Alligator mississippiensis: one gene and its partner. The protein of the gene in region 1 purifies or fractionates together with the protein of each later gene. This does not show direct contact. Links are inferred from orthologs where the notes say so. Each region holds a gene or a part of one and is shown in the gene's direction. Other genes may lie near its edges.

Region 1 (7,382 bases):
AAAAAAAAAGAGGCATGGCATATGAACTGGTTCACTGACCTCTGCCACCAAAGCATCCCCTGCTCTGGGATGAATCTGGGTCAGGTTCGGGAACACTTTGCAGTGGTGGTATAGCACAAAGCAGTTGTAGGGCCGTGTCGAGTCTGGGAATTGTTAAGTGTAAATGTATCTTTTATCCAAGGAGCTAGAATGATGCTGAAAAATTATAGCTCCTTCTGGATATTCCATACACCCTATTAAAAAGAAAAAAGACCCTTAACACTAAATACAAAATAAGCATTTAAGCAACAGCACCAAGCTGTCTTGATGTGTCGACTCCAAATCAATTTAGGGTTAAGGCCAATCTTTTGCCTAAAGTTTTTTTTTTTTTTTAATCTTACCAGTGATTTGAGATCCTTCAGTTTTTTGGGCATCTGAAGTGACAGCACTCTGAAAATCAGATGCCTGTAAGATATTTCAATGTGGGCTCCTGAAATGAGTAATTAATCTTGCCAGTGTAGGCCCCACATTTAACTGGTAAACTTAAAATAAGTTTATCTAGTTTGTTTAATTAGAGGAGAAAAATGGCTATAATCTTCAGAGCATGTTTTATGAGAATGCCGTGGTTCAGAGCGAAGGCAGGACTGCTAGCTTAATTTAGAGGCATTGGCAACTGTGTATAAAAAACACACATTCTGTGTTTCACATGCAATCTTTCTTTTCAAGTGATGATTTAATTAGCTGGATCTGTCTGAATTAAAATCCACTCACTGAATTCCTCTGAGTTTTACACTTCTACTCCCATATGCTGTGGCTGCTCAGTGTTGTTAGCAACTGTGACCCTAATCCCACTGCAACAGGGATGCTGACGCACACAGTGATAATATTCTATTACCAGCAGAAAGTTCCCTCGGAAACAAACCTGGAGCAGAAAACAAGAGGTCAGGCTGCAGCTTACCGCGAGTGTATTAGCATCTGGAAGGCATTGCCCAGGTTGGTTGGCATTTAACTTTGCAAAGTTAAATATTTATGGCAATGTGCATTTGTAATTTTTAAAAGTCAAAGGGAGCCTTGGTACTGATGTTCCTAGTGAATGCCTAGCCCTGAGCTTTCAATGTCTTATGTATTTTTATCCCGGGCTGCAGTTTCCCGTTCAGTCAGGGTGGGAGAGCCCGCCAGAATGAATTCCACCTCTGCGCCCAAGTGCTTTGTGTTGTCTAAATCCTACATACATGCCCAAGATAGGGTTTAAACGGGGTGTATAAACCTTGTGCTGGGCCCTCTGCGTAGGGTGACTTTAATCTGCCATGTCTGAGGCACTGCTTAAATCCTTATCTCTCCTGCCTCCAGGAGGAGGATTAATGCAGAGAAGTTGTACCAGGCTTGATGGTGGAACTGTAACAGCAGGAGCCTCCATGATTCCCTCCAGTGCATCTCCACATGGGGTTGAGAGCTGTTTTCACTAGCAGTTGTGAACAGTTGCTCTCACACATTAGTGACGGGAGCCATATAGCAACCCTGGTAGGTAAACACTTGGATGCATCAGTGCTTGGTTCAGTGCCAGATGCTGTGCTAATGGACACAGCTGAATTATTCAGGGCCAGATCCTGCCTCCATCCATAACAATAGGAGTTTGCCATTATGCATAAATAGATGTCCCCGGTATCTCGCTCTTATTCTCTCTGCATCTATAATGCATCAATGCTCTTACTGGGAATTCATAGCATTTTTTGGAGAAAAAGTAAATGAATAAAGGATGTTTGGGGAAGACCAACATTATTTGCAATTTGGGGTTCAATGTGACGCACAGTTTCAGCCACAAAAAATGGGGCTAGGGGAGGGATAGAAAAGTGGAAAACATTGCCAGGGTAAAAATTAACATTTTGAAATGTTTAGAAAGAGCAGGTCATTTGAGAAAAGTCAAAACATGGGTTTTTTTGGTCTTTTCTAAATACATTTCAGTGTTCAATTTAAAAGACACTTTCCACTAAAAAACTACAAAAATAAAAGGTGAAATAATCCAGAAAAAAAAATTAAAAACATTTATTATTTTCTTTTCTACATAAAAATGTTGTAATGCTCATTTTAAAAAACAGTTTTCTGTCAAAACTACAAAAAAAAAAAAAATCACCAAATTAAAAAAAAAAAGGAGAGGGGGGAGTTTAAATAATCCAGAAAAACAAATCTAAATATCTTGATTTTGATAGAATAAAACATTTGAGGTTCACCCCTAAATTACTGTTATTGTTAACAGGGTCCTTGGCCATCTGCTCTGAGGCTGAGCCAATCTCAGATGTGATGTTAGAGATCACTGAGAAGCCTCCGCACCGGATGCCCACGTACCTCCACGTGGCTACTGAATTCAAGATTCAGTCGTATAGATTCAAGCCAGAGTCATATAGCCCTGGCGTGGTTTTAATTTAAAAAGAAAAAAATAGCTGATTTTATGGAAAAACCATTTTTGACCCGTTCAAAAAAAAAAAAAAAATTCAGCCAGTCCACCTCTCCCTACTGCCCAGACTTGAGTCAAGTTCCCAGATGGCCCCTCCACAGGGAGCACTGCCCTGATGTCCTCGTCTGCTTGGCTGTTGCATTGTACCTAAACTACCCCTGTCCTCAAGCCTCAGAAAAGACTGCTTCCTGCCCCATACTGTGAAGAGGTGTGGCTGTGAGCTGTTAAACCTCTCCAGATACACTGGCTGAAGAGATACTTCATGGTAGCATCTCTCACAGGAAGCACTCAGCCAGGGTGACTGTCCTCTCCTCTAACGCATCAGCAACACGCTGCTGGGGCTCAGTCTAGCTGGCTCCTTTTGGAAGGCACTTTGGGAGCTGTCAGGAAGAGGTGCTGGACCAGCCCTCGAAAACCGTTGAAACAAATTCCCTTCAGATTCTCGCACCTCACTTTTTACCCTGGTAACCGGCCAACGCATTGCAATGGGACTTGCTTGGCCCTTGGAAAGAAACATCTGTCTGCAGCTGGTTGCAAGCAGAGGACAAAGCGCATGGTGCTGTGTTACATACCCAGGAACCACCAGACAATTTAGACGTGAGAATATGGATCTCGGGGCTGCTACTGCTTTGCGCCAGGGTAACGATAGGCCGCACCGAGCTGCTGCTGTCATCCAGGTCACGAGGAGCATTGGGTGCATTAGTCGAAAGCAGTGATGCGCAGCCAGGGTACCGCCAGGTCCTTTGGGCATCCTGAGGTGTGAAGAGCAAAGCAGATAAATTCGGACTTAGGCTTGTCCCTGCCTGGACCATCTCCTACCCCAGCTGTCGGGCCTCTCTGCAAGGAGGTAAGCGCTATAATCCAGCAACTCATTTTTGGAACGGTGCCACTTAGTTCACAAAAGTTATGGACGGGGCCTCGTGTCCCAAAGGTTGTGAACCATTGGTCTTAACATCAGTGGGCCTTTTTAGGCCCTGAAGGAGGGTGCCGGTCCTCTGTAATCTGCTGCCAATACACTGCTGGGCAGGACCCGATTAACCCTTCAGCAGGCTCTAGACAAACTCATGGGCTCCTAATTTTTCTCGCTCAGTAATTATAACATGTAAAATAAGCACAACTGGGCCCCTTCTTTACTTACGGCTTGTGCTTACTTTGCCTACGCGTTCATCCGGCCCTGCTGCTGGGGCTCAGTAAAGCGGGCTCTGGCAGGTGCTTTGGGAGCCTTCAGGACTAGAAGTGCTAGATGAGCCCTCGAAACCTGCTGAAACAAATTCACTGCAGAGTCTCACACCTCACCTTTAAAGGGTGCCTAAAAGCTACTGTTGCGTGGCACTACCCAGAAAGGAGACCCAGGCTGGAAGTGGTCTCCTTCTTGGACACCATTAGTTTTCCATGCTGGCCCTCCCTTCTAGCCAGCAATGGGGGAAGGTGGTGTGCTCAGGATACTCTTGACCACAGGGATCACTGATTACTTTCCTTCCCTTCTCTGGGCTTCTCCCCCCTGGCACTCAGTGAAGAGGTGTTAATGACACCCTCCCCCCCCAAGCTCTCTCGGATCCCTGGGAGATGCGCTGTTAGGAGCCCGGAGATCAGCGGGGACCCCAGCTGCACGTGCCGGGGGTGCCGCTGCCCCCTCACCCGCCCCACCCGCGGCTTCCCTGCGCGGGGAGCTGCATTTCAGGCCGGCGGCCGCTAGGAAGCCGCTGCCTCCTCCCGCCGTGCCGGAGCTGAGCGCAGCCCCTGCCATTTCCGAGGATCCCCTCCCCACCCCCCTCACCCCCGCCTCCGGCAACCAGCCCCAGCCCCGGCGTGCGGGGGCAGAGCCTGAATCGCGGCTCCGGGGGAAGCTCGGGCGGGGCGGGGACGAGAGGCAGAGGGGTCTGCACGCCCCGCTCCCGCCCCTCCAGCCGCTGCCGGAGCCGAGCCGAGCCGAGCCGAGCCCCGCCGGCCTGGGAGTCGCCGCCGCCCGGTAAGGGAGGGTGGAACGTTGGGGACCGCGATGGAATGTTGGGAGCGGCGGTGGAACGCTGGGATCCCGGCGTGGAACGCTGGGGATCGCACTGTAGCCACTTGGCTCCCTTTGTGCGGCCGGGCAGCGATCCGATCCGGTCCGGTCCGGTCCCCCGGAGCCGGGCGGAGAGGCCCTCTCCGGCGTGCGAGCGCTGCGCGGGGATTTGTTTTGTCGGAGGCGGGGGAGGAAGGAGGCGGTTTTTTTGGGTTTTAGTTTTTTTTTTTTTTTTTAATCCAAGCGATCCCCGGCTTGGCAGGGCGGGGATCCCGGCAGCGCTGGGCACGGGGCGCCGGGTGAGTTGAAGGGAGGAAAGGGGCACGGTTGGGAGCTGCCGTCTGCGAGGGGCTGAGGCATCTTTCCCCTCCCGCAGATCGGGGGCTTTAGCTTCATCCCTCCCCACCGCCTTTGCTCCTATTACCCGGCTGAGATGTGTGATAGAGGAGGGGCGGCAGCAGCCCTGGGGTGGGTAAGAGCACCCCAAGAACCTCTGGCATCCCCCCTTCCCCAGCTCTCCCCAGAGCCTTGTTTCCCCACTCCCCACCCGCCTGCTTTGCAGTTGTTTCATGCTCTTTATTTTTCCAGGCCCTTGGAAAGTTGCATGCCAAGAAACTGAGTCCAAATCCTTCTCCAGCTCTTTGGGTGTCTGGCTGCCCATGCTGCTTAGTTTGAGACCTCAGCTGTTGGATGCCCTCAGTGTTTCAGGGAAGGGAAGTTGTTGTTGGTTTTCTGTTTCCTGGCTCCTTCAAATCCACCATGCCCGTTTGATGCCACCCAGGAGCGATCCTTTGCCAGTGAGATACTGGAGGGCTGCCCTTTATGCGGTGTGAAAGTTCAGGATTGCGCCCAATAGCAAACTGCCTTGTTGTCCTTGTTTTGCGTTTGGATTTGGAGTTGTCTTTCCGTGCCTAAAATTGTTTCTTAATGGTCCGAATCGCTGCAAGCCAATCGGCAGCTTGCATTTTGGTCACAGAGCCCTGGCACTGTTGCACGTTTCCCCTGTCAGATACAATGACACCCCCCCCCCATTAACCGTATGTTAGGCAGAACAGAAATTAAAAGAATTGTCGCTGGAAAAATGCATGCCGCTTTGTAAATAGATGCTGGAACCTCCCTCCAGCGCTTTTGATGAATTACTTTGTCTTCGCCGTGGTGTTTCTCACGTGTTACAAGACCGTTATCCTGTGACAACATTTTATTCCATTGACCTATCTTAATGAAATCTTTCTCATCCAATCAGATTACCAGAGGGTTGACCTAGATATCTAGATTCAAAGCCAGAATTCCAGTGCAGAAGTCAAATGCAAGGGAAAAAAAATTCAGCAGAACTCTTTGTCTAGCGAAGATGGCTGTTTTTGGAAAACGACTTTGCTTTTCATTTGTCGCTCACTCCAACTGGATCCGCACGTTGCCTTGGAACTGTTTGAGTCTGATAGAAGGTAGAGAAGGAAACAAACTATTGCGCCGATTTATCTCAGTACCTTTCCCACATTTGTTTTCAGCCTCCGAATGCGCAGTACTTATACTGAGTCCATGGGACTATTCCCATTACTAGGGCTAGCTGGGTAGATTCCCAGGTCTCTGGTGAGTTCTGCTGTGGCTGTCATTTCTAATATTTACTGGTGAGAGGGGTCCTGTTTTTGACAGGCTCTGCCATAGGGATCTATTTTCTATAAAGAAAGGTAAATTGTAATGATCTTAATTTATAATAATCATGCACTGACTGCAATTTAAGATGCTATATGGACAGTCTGCACCTGTAGAGCTAACCGTTTAAACAAGAGGGAGGGAATCGATTGGCTAAACTGAGAAACTCAGGAGGGCTTAGGAAGGGGTAGGATGTCTATATCCAATTGGTCTACACTAAGCTGTAGTGATTGGGTCTGCCGCACTAATAATTCTTGGCACTCGCTGTTTGTTTTATTTGATGTCGTTAGTTCCCTACCCCCCATGCACTTGCCTTTAATTTATTTTTGCATGATCTAAAACCAAAGGAAAAATAAGCCCTCTCTAGCAGTGGTGGAAATGTACTGCTCCAGTGACTGTAAGTAAAAGGGGCAGGGTTTGCACCCTCCTCTTGTTTGGACGGGGCCTGACACAGTGGCGCCCTGTCCCCGAGCACTCCAAAGTAAATAATAACTTGATTTATCTGTTGCTTTGCTGCTTCCTCTAATACGTGCCTTTGGAAAGCAGGCGCCACCTTTAACTCGGCTTCCTTCCATGCACCTCTTCTCTCTGATGGAAGTACTGCACGGGTTGCGGGGGGAGTAGCCATATTCTTGGTGCTACTTGTCTGCTCTTCTTGGGCCAGCTCCACTGACAGCCACCACTGATGCATACACACGCACAGAAGGGGATTCGGGCATCAGCTACTCAGATACCACAGTGCTGAAGCCCAGGATAAATGCCAAGACAGCTATTCCTTGTGACCTGCTGCAGCTGGCACCTTTCTCTTCCCATGTGCTTGCAAGCAACATGTGTGCAGGACAAGTCTGGGGTCTGGGACATTGTGGGGTTATCTTTTTGTTGGCTCCAGGTTGGCTGCTTTGGCTGTGTCTCTGCTGCTCTGCTACAGTGCCGGGAGACACCCTGCTGAGATGTCGGGCTCACTTTGTGTGTGTTACCTCCTGACCTGGAAGAAGCCTGCCCGCCTACATGCTGCCTGGCCTGTTTGTTCAGAGGCCCTGTCTCTCAGCGCAGCTTGCTGGCATGCTAACACAGCTATGCCCTGCTTCAGGAGCGAGTGCAGCGTCCCCCAGGATGGTGCCGCCTGGCATCAGAACTGGGGGATGGCGACGGACCCTTTGTGTCCCTCGATGCAAGTCTGCTGTTGTCTGAAAGCTCGCCAAGCTCTTGTGCTGCATCCCAGCAGGCTGGATTTCTGTGCTCTTATGCTTCCCTTGGTCCGAGTAGGCTCCAGTACCGTCTCTGTCCTTGGCTTCT
Region 2 (8,302 bases), on another chromosome or scaffold:
CAGGAGACACAGGCTAAGCTAAGTAACAGGGAAAAATGGCTTATGTTTAACTCCAGTATACATTAAAACAGTAATTTAAAGGATTGGAGGAAGGTTGTGAAGTAGTAGCAAAGAAAGATGATCCAAAGTAGCTTCAAAATTAGGGGGATCTAATTGATTAGACAGTTTACTCATGTAGAGGAACAAGATAATTCAACAGGGAAAAGGGTCATTATTACCCTTAGAGTGAAGAGAGGTTAGCTGAGATAACAGGTAGACTGTAATGAGTTATAAAGCCATTATCTCTGCTTAGTCAATAATTTTTAGTGTTCAGTAAGCTTATGGATTTTTGTTTCCAGGCCCATCTTTCAGAGGTTAAATTTATCTATTCTCTCTCCCACCTATATTGGTCTAATAAAAAGTATCACTAAAACCTTGCCTTTCATACATATCTTGGACCATCACATCTACAATACCACCCCAACTGTATTATAATACCAATGATCTCCTGCAGAGCTAGCAAATACAGGAGGAGATAAAATGACTGTTTTCCTCAGCCCTTCCTTGTCTGTAAAACACCGAGGTGGCATCCAGGTACAGCAAGATATTATAACGAACGCTAGCTAAAGGTTAGAAAATTCATAGCAAAGCTAAAATTCAGTTCTAAAATTAAAATAGGTTAAACAAACTGGATACACCACAAGTAGTGGTTTTACATTTTGTCTTTTTTTTTTTTCAGTTTTGCAGTGGTCAGGTAATGTTGCTATATTAGCAAACTGACTCCTGTTTGCTTTATATAGCCACTTTTAGAAAGTATAATGACTTGGCCATTTCAATTTGCAACAGATTGACTTTAGTCTGACCTTCAATTATCTAGACTGAATGTCTGCTGTTTAAACCCCCCCCCCCCCCCCCCAAATGCCTTTGTGGTACTATAGCTCCATTGAATGGTTTCTAGTAATATTGTACATTAGCTGCAAAATTAGCAGACCTATTGGGACTTATTTGATACAAGGTTTGAAGTCAAGGGGGGGTGCAGAATCGAATCCAGTTTTCCCGAATCTCTTCTCCTCTGTTCTAACTCCATTTTTCAATGAGCTGCTTCTTGTTTACAGCACAGTGCATTGCTTAACGTGTCACTAGGAAGGAAGAAAGATGCATCTTTAGCCTGTATCAGCTGACAATGATTTTTGCATTATATGGTCATTGGATAGAGGTAGTCTTGGAAGCAGAGGCTGTAACTGAGGACCCTCCCTTCCCAGGTAAGTGGTTATGCTTCTTTTTCTCTGACCCAGTTCATCTTGTATACTTTTCAGAAGTTAATAGCTTCTTCAGGATAGAGAGGGCCCCACCCAGAACTGCATGGACAGGCAGTCAGGGATGTGGTTTAAATATCCTTTGGCAGCAAAGAGAACTGAATGAATCTTCCACTTCCTGGACAAGTGTTTTAACCGCAAGGCTCTAATAAGAGGGCAGCAGCAATGCTCTAAAAGAAAGTGGTGGTTTCTGCCAGTGTACGTGAGGATGCTGAAAATACCTACCCACCTAGCTCAGGGGTAGGTATGAGCTAAGCACTAGGCCCTTCTACCCTCTCAAGCCTGGGACAGTTCTGGGAATGAGCAGAAGTGCAAGCTCTAATTGCGTGGGCACTCTGACACTATAAGGCACTGTGGCATTTAATCACCGCCAGTTAGGTGAAAGAAGGGTTTTTTTTCCAGGCTCTGTCTTTTTTTTTTTTTAAGTTAGTGTTAAATTTATCCTAATATTCCATTCTGTAATGTTTTAAATCTATTGTACGATGCCAATCCTACATTGAGATCTGTTAGTGCAGACCCCCAAGCCTGTGCCGAGCCCCGTTAAATTCCAGAGAACTTCAGTATGGTTGGCAGCTAGTAACTGTTGGCCTGACATCGGGTCTGATCCAAAGCCTATGGAAGCCAATTAAAGGAATCCTATTTACTTAAATGGGCTCTGAATCAAGCTTTTCCAGAGATGCTGAGCACCTCTAAATGTCAGGCCATGAGTTATCTGAACAGACAGTTTTTAAATGTTTTTGGCACTTTCAAGTACTTTGGCCAAGTCAGACATGGAAAAAAAATGTTACTTTTATACTTCTTAGAAACTAGAATTTCTCAAGCAATTAATCAATCCAATTTTGTACTGTTTGAAAAGAGCTATTATGCATGCAAGTTTCATAACCTTTTTAATGATGCAAAGAACCAGACATCTGAAACCCTGCAAATGGAAGAGCTGCAGCATTTTTACTGAGGTCAGCGTGACCCAATGGAATTACATCAATAGCAGCATCTCGTACAATGTAGAACTTATAATTATTCCACAGATAGCACGCGAGGAGCACCCCGAGTGTAAAAACCTCTTCTTAAAGTTCTCGTGTAGTTCCCAGACACATCAAAAAGGCATGTTCAGGATCAATTTACTATGCAAGTTGTAGGCTGAATTCGATGAGGAAGAGTTGCTTCAAGGAACATATTCCCCAGAAGCATTTTGCAGTTTTTGGCAGAAATCATTGTTGTGTAGGGCATATGTACTAGCCAGCAACTTTTTGGTGTTTGTTTCTTATTTTTAATGATCACTCGATCCTCAAACCTAACAGACTGCGTGGGTTTAAATAGATATATTATTAATTCCGTTGTGGCATGATATGCTAGGCGCTCTCTAGACATATAAGGAACAGACTGTCTTTTTGTTTTGTGTTTGTAGAGCACCTACTACAAGGGTCCTGTGCTGTGACTAGTGCTCCTAAGTGCTGTGATAATACAAGTGATACTGTGGAGTGCCTCAGCAGAATGGGACCTATGTCACAAAGCCCTATTAAACTAGCTGTCTTGGAAGACGTGTCAAACATAGGCAGCGATCTCCTACTTGGCAGCAGAGGCATTGGGTGTTGGCTGCACTCAAGGCTGGCGACTTTGACTGGGCTGTGCCAACGTTCCTGCTGGGACAAAAGCTGGAGGTTCCTGGCTAGCGGGTCTTGCTCCTTCGCTCAGGGTCAGACCGATCACTATATTTGGGGTCAGGAAGGAATTTTATCTTGTGTTCAGATTGACATAGACTGTGGGGGCTTTTGCTTTCCTCTGTAGCGGGGGGCATGGCCCTCTACCCAGGATCACTTGAGCATGCATTGACAACGCTTCATAGAAGAAGGATGTTGGCTGCTGTGGTTCCTCTGCTCGGCCTGTGGCAGGTTAGGGTGCTAGGTCTGCACTGTGTCAGGGTTTGCGGTAGGGTTCAGATGATTGATTGCACAGGGTAGTTTGGATAAGGATGATCCTGCCTCAGGCAGGGGGTTGGACTAGATCAGTGTTTCCCAACCAGTGGGACTTGAAGGTCATGTAGATGGGACTTCAACTCATTGCCCGATTGAAAAAAATCAGTTGTTTGCACGTCAAATAGGTGAATCAACAGATGTCTCCAACAGTGCAATTTTGTGGGGTTTTGTTTTTATCGTGGTAGGACCAGGGTTTTTTGACCAAATGGTTGGTGGGGCATAAGGTGCAAAAGGCTGAGAACTGCTGGACTAGATGACTAGGGACCTAGTTGGACGAGGGACCTCTGGAGGTCCCTTCCAGCCCTCCTGCTCTATGATTTGGTGATCGTCTTGAAATGGACCTTTTACGATCATCCCGAAATGGACCTTTTACAAAAAGCTGAGATTTATTTCTTCTTGTTAACTTGCCTGTCTGTGCCCTGCTGCTATTGTAGTGCCCCCTGGTGCGCTACAAAGCCTGGACATTTCTGGAGTAGTTCCCGCAGCATCTGGAAGACGGAAACAAGAAGTTAAATTCGAATATAGACTTGGGATGCAAGCCGATTCTTATCTTTTTGGAGAACGGTGATGGCATATGGGAACTATCTTGGCTGAAAATGCATCTACATCGCAGATAAACAGTCTAAGCCCGAACGGCCCAATGACCATACACAGCCCTTCCTTCCCGCGATTTCCCAGCTCCTCCAACAGTCCCGCTGACCTGTGGACCTACTGAAGGAGCCAGGGACCCCTCAGTCTCCATAGGGGCACTTGCCTTTATATCGGGGCCTGTAAAACCCTTTTAATTTTGCATCTTTCCTTTTTTGAGATAGAAACCCGTGCCTCCCCATCTCCCTGTTGATTGCAAACATCTTCCTCCCATTTCTATGTCCCGGGGAAGTGCTTTATAGCCAGACCTCCCCTCCCTTCCAGCTAGGGTGGCCGTCATCGAGGACAGTCTGGTTGTCCTCTATTGATACGAAACCCGGCGCCTTTATGTCCTCTATTTTTCTCTTTGAGGTTATTTTTCAAGAGAAAAATAGAGGACATAAGGGTGTCCGGTTTCGTATCAACAGAGGACGGAGGTCAAGTGTCTGTCGTAGGGCGGCCGTCATCGAGGACAGCCCGCTCGCCCTCTCTTGATACAAAACCGGACGCCTTTATGCCCTCGATTTTCCTCTTGAAGAGCCACGTGAGATTCGCCCGTTCCTTCCCTTTCCAGCCTCAAGGAACGAGGTTGAAGTTTGGATGCGACGTTTGGTACAGAAAGGTCACAGGCGGCTGTCATCAAGGACAGCCCGGTTGTCCTCCATCCCCTATCAATACCAAGCCGGACGCCTCGACGTCCTCTCTTTCTCTCTTGAAAAATCATCTGGAAGAGAACATAATCTTCCAGAGAAAAACGGAGGACATCAAGGCATCCGGTTTCGGTATCGACGGAGGACAGAGGTCAAGCGCGGATACGACGGTCAGTACGGAAAGGTCACGGGCAGACGCCCGGTTTTCCAAAACCAATCTCGAAGAGAAAAACGGAGGACACGGAGGCGCGGGGTTTGGCACCGACAGAGGACGGAGGTTGAGTCTCTGTCATCGAGGCCAGCCCGGTCGTCCTGTCTCGATGCCGAGCCCGACGCCTTGATGTCCTCCGTTTGTCTCTTCGGGGTTATTGTCTCTTCAGGATTATTTGTCAGGAGAACAGCGGGGTGCGGGGCTGGGGGCCACACGGCTGCACCCCCTCCCCTCCCCTCCCCCACCCCGGGCAGGGCGAGGGGCAAGCGGCGGTTGACCCCGCCCCCCAGCATGGGAGGGGGCGGGACGGGGGAGGGGGAGGTGCCTCCTCCTCCTCCTCCTCCTCCTCCTCCCCGGCGCCGGCCCCGCTCATGGCGCCGCTGGGCACATCCGGGCCTCTCCTCCTCCTCCTCCGGCCGCCGCCGCTGCCCTGAGCGCCCCGCGCGACTCCATTAGGCCGGGCCCGGCGCGGGGCGCGGCGGCGACATGTCCAACCCGGGCGCGCGGAGGAACGGGCCCGTCAAGCTGCGGCTGACAGGTGAGGCGCCGGGCCGGGCCGGGCCGGGCCGGGCCTGTGGGCGGAGCGGGGCGGGGGGGGACCCGCCGCGTGAGGCGAGCCGAGCCGAGCCGAGCCGAGGGCCCGGCCCGGCGGAACTCGCCCCGAGTGCGGCGGCCTCTTTTGTCCGGGCTCCCGCCGCCTGCCCCCCACCCCCAGCCCTGTCACTTCTGCGAGTCCCGGAAAAATTATTTAAAAAAAAAAAATAATAATAATAATTTAAAAAAAAATTGTTGAATCTGAGGAAAAAAAAACCCAAAAACAAACCCCGGTTTTATTTTGTCGGCCCGTTTCGTGCAGTCAGAGCAGCCCCGCTCGCGGCCAGCTCGTGTCGCGCCGCGGCAGCCAAACTCCTCTGAACCCGACTGGGGCAAGGATTTTGCGAGCGAGGGGGTTTTTTTCCCCCCCTGAGGAGGAAGAGCGAGTCTTTTTAAAAAAAAATAACCTGGAAAAGTTTGCAGGGTGCGGGGGAACCCGTGTGTTTTATTGAGCCATTTATTTAAAACAATCCGTGGATCTCACGAAGGAGCCGGGGCGTCCTCCTCTCCTGCGTAAAGACGCCGCAGAGGATTATGAGTCTGGGCAAAAAAAATAAGCCGCGGGGCGCCGCGTAAGGAAGCCGGGCGGGCGGGCGGGCAGTCCGCAAAAGGAGTGTGCGTTTTTCGTTGTGTTGTCTTTGCGTTCGCTTTTTAACGAGCCCAGAAAGACGAGGGCAGGAGATAGGGTCTCGAACGAGCATCTTCCAGCGTTAGCAGCTGTCCGGGGAGCGACCGGAGATGTTTTGGGAAACGTCGGCTTGTCTCGGGAAGGACCATTGGAGGGGATGGAGGTATTTTGGACCGGGTCTGCTGTAACCTGGTTGAAACGTCGCGTCGCTTGTTATAAGGAAGTTGTACGCGCTTTGGGAAAGTTGTTAGAAGCACTGAATTGAATGGACGTGTTGTCAGGTCTCGCGTCTCTTCCCAGGCAAGTACTCGGTGTGGTTTTGATGGTCCTTTTCGACTGGGAAAAGCAGCGCAAGGACCCTTGAGTGCTCGCACTGACTGGAGTTAAAATGCATATGGTTTTTTTTAAAGTAGTTTACTCTTCAGATCTGCCCCATGGTGTATAATCCTAATTTTCTTTGTCTTTATGAAACTAGCAGTCTTCTGTTTTGGCTTGAACGCTTCAAGGATTCATTCGATAATCAATGTGTAATACTGACTTATTTTCTGTTTGTTATCTCTAAATGAGATGGTATAAATGAAAAAAAATGGATTTCAAGAACTGGATTCAATTAGCATTTTTTTTTTTTCAGGACATAAACATTAAAGGTTTAGATAGAAAACATAGTTTTGACTGACTGGATAAATGGCAGGGTAGTGTTTGATGCGAGTCCAAGAACTGATCTGGAGCTAATGCCCAACCTCTTGGTCCATCTCGAGGAGCCAAATAAAATATTTAACCTAGGCCTCGTTTTGCAGAAAAGGTTGATTCTTTGTTGGGACCTTAAGTGAGTTCTGAGAAATGTTTGGCATACCTTTACACTAAGTGTTTAACGGTTTATTTAGGTCTGGGTTCCAGAATAGAGGAAAAACCACTGTGGTGGCATACTTCTAGTAAGTTTGTATTTAGCTTACAGTGCATCCCGGCTGTTTCTTCTGTTGCTTTTAGCTTTATTTGTATGTCATAAGTATCCCCTAATCCCTTAATGACACACATCGGAGTCTCAGGCACAGCCCTGAGCCAGAAAGTTGCTGGATAGTAGACAGTTACAAAAATCTGCAAAAGTAGCCTGGTGAAGATTTCTCATGAGAATAATAAATGCTGGATTTCATTAAGAACGTAACCAGTATAATTCAAGCTAGTGTCAGCTCAGAAGTTGGTCATAGGTTGTGTATGTAACTGTGTTTCCCAAAGCTTTCCAGTCTTGCTACCACTTCCTCAGTTCTGTCCCTTGGACCAGTAGAGTAGACTGGGCTTCTGCAGCCATGGATGTTTTTTGCCAGTTTTATCTAGTCCTTAGAACACATTATGCTGCACTGATTTAAAGACTCCAGCTTTCCCCCCACTTCAGTTTTCTGATGTGATTTATTTTTTATTTTTGTAACTAGTCAGAACTTCCATGATTTCTTGAATGTGGAAGTGAATCTAAACTACTTGAAAACTGGCTCAAGCTGAAACTTTGAGTTTTCGGTTGGAATATACTATTACAGTAGGAATATCACAATGTTTGCTTGGAATACAGTATTAATACAGTGCAGTGTGGGTAGGGAGAATCTTTTATTCTTTGAGGACTAGACAAGCATATTGCATACAGCTGAAAAGTTGGTTTTCCAGTAGTGTCCAGTAAGTACATTTGGGCTGTAATTTATGATTTACCTTTTAAAATAGTAAATGCAGTGACTTTAAGTGCCTTTACTTAGGGATATATTTGGTAGCTATGTTGGTCTGAGACAAAAAGAAATGCAAAACTCTCTAGAACTCTTGGTTCAGAGATGATATCTTTTATTAGCCCAACTAAGAAATCGCCAAAAAAAATCTTTTTGTACTTGCGAGGAGAATATCAATCAAAATGACACCAGTAATTTTTGAAACCTAGAAAAAATCACAAAAATGTAAGTGAAATCTGTTAATTATTGTGGTATAACCTCATACATATTGGGGAAAGGTGACGGACAGACTGGATTGATCACCTTTGCATAGTCCCTTGTGGTTACTTGCCAACTTGTGTGGTATTTGTGGCATAGCATAATTGGTAAACTTTTCCAGAGAGAAAACTAGAAGTAGAATAACAGTCCCTTGTGGGTTAGGAATGAGAAACAATTCACACTGGACAGTCTGGGGAGGTCAGTAGAGGGCCTGCCTTCCCCTTTTACTGTACACTTGTGGAGCCTTGACAAAAACATGGAGAAATTAGATCTCTTTTCTATAAAACTGCCAGTGTCTCATCTTTTGTTTTACTGTGTCTTCTGTTGAGTCTGTGAAATGTTCATTTTTCTTCATACAAA

The links. Proteins that work in one complex are often made in the same cells at the same time.
Region 2: the proteins of CUEDC1 (region 1) and SMURF2 purify together in Homo sapiens (co-immunoprecipitation; 3 studies listed by BioGRID and IntAct, with this or other methods). This does not show direct contact. The link is inferred for Alligator mississippiensis from reciprocal best matches to the Homo sapiens genes CUEDC1 and SMURF2.

The regions. Positions count from the first base shown.
Region 1 is NC_081837.1:6,110,505-6,117,886, forward strand, and holds the start of CUEDC1 (CUE domain-containing protein 1), read left to right. Parts: upstream 1-4,171; 5' UTR 4,172-4,400; intron 4,401-4,642; exon of another isoform or gene 4,643-4,735; intron 4,736-7,382.
Region 2 is NC_081831.1:6,313,865-6,322,166, forward strand, and holds the start of SMURF2 (E3 ubiquitin-protein ligase SMURF2), read left to right. Parts: upstream 1-5,100; 5' UTR 5,101-5,242; coding exon 5,243-5,294; intron 5,295-8,302. UniProt on the Homo sapiens protein: E3 ubiquitin-protein ligase which accepts ubiquitin from an E2 ubiquitin-conjugating enzyme in the form of a thioester and then directly transfers the ubiquitin to targeted substrates.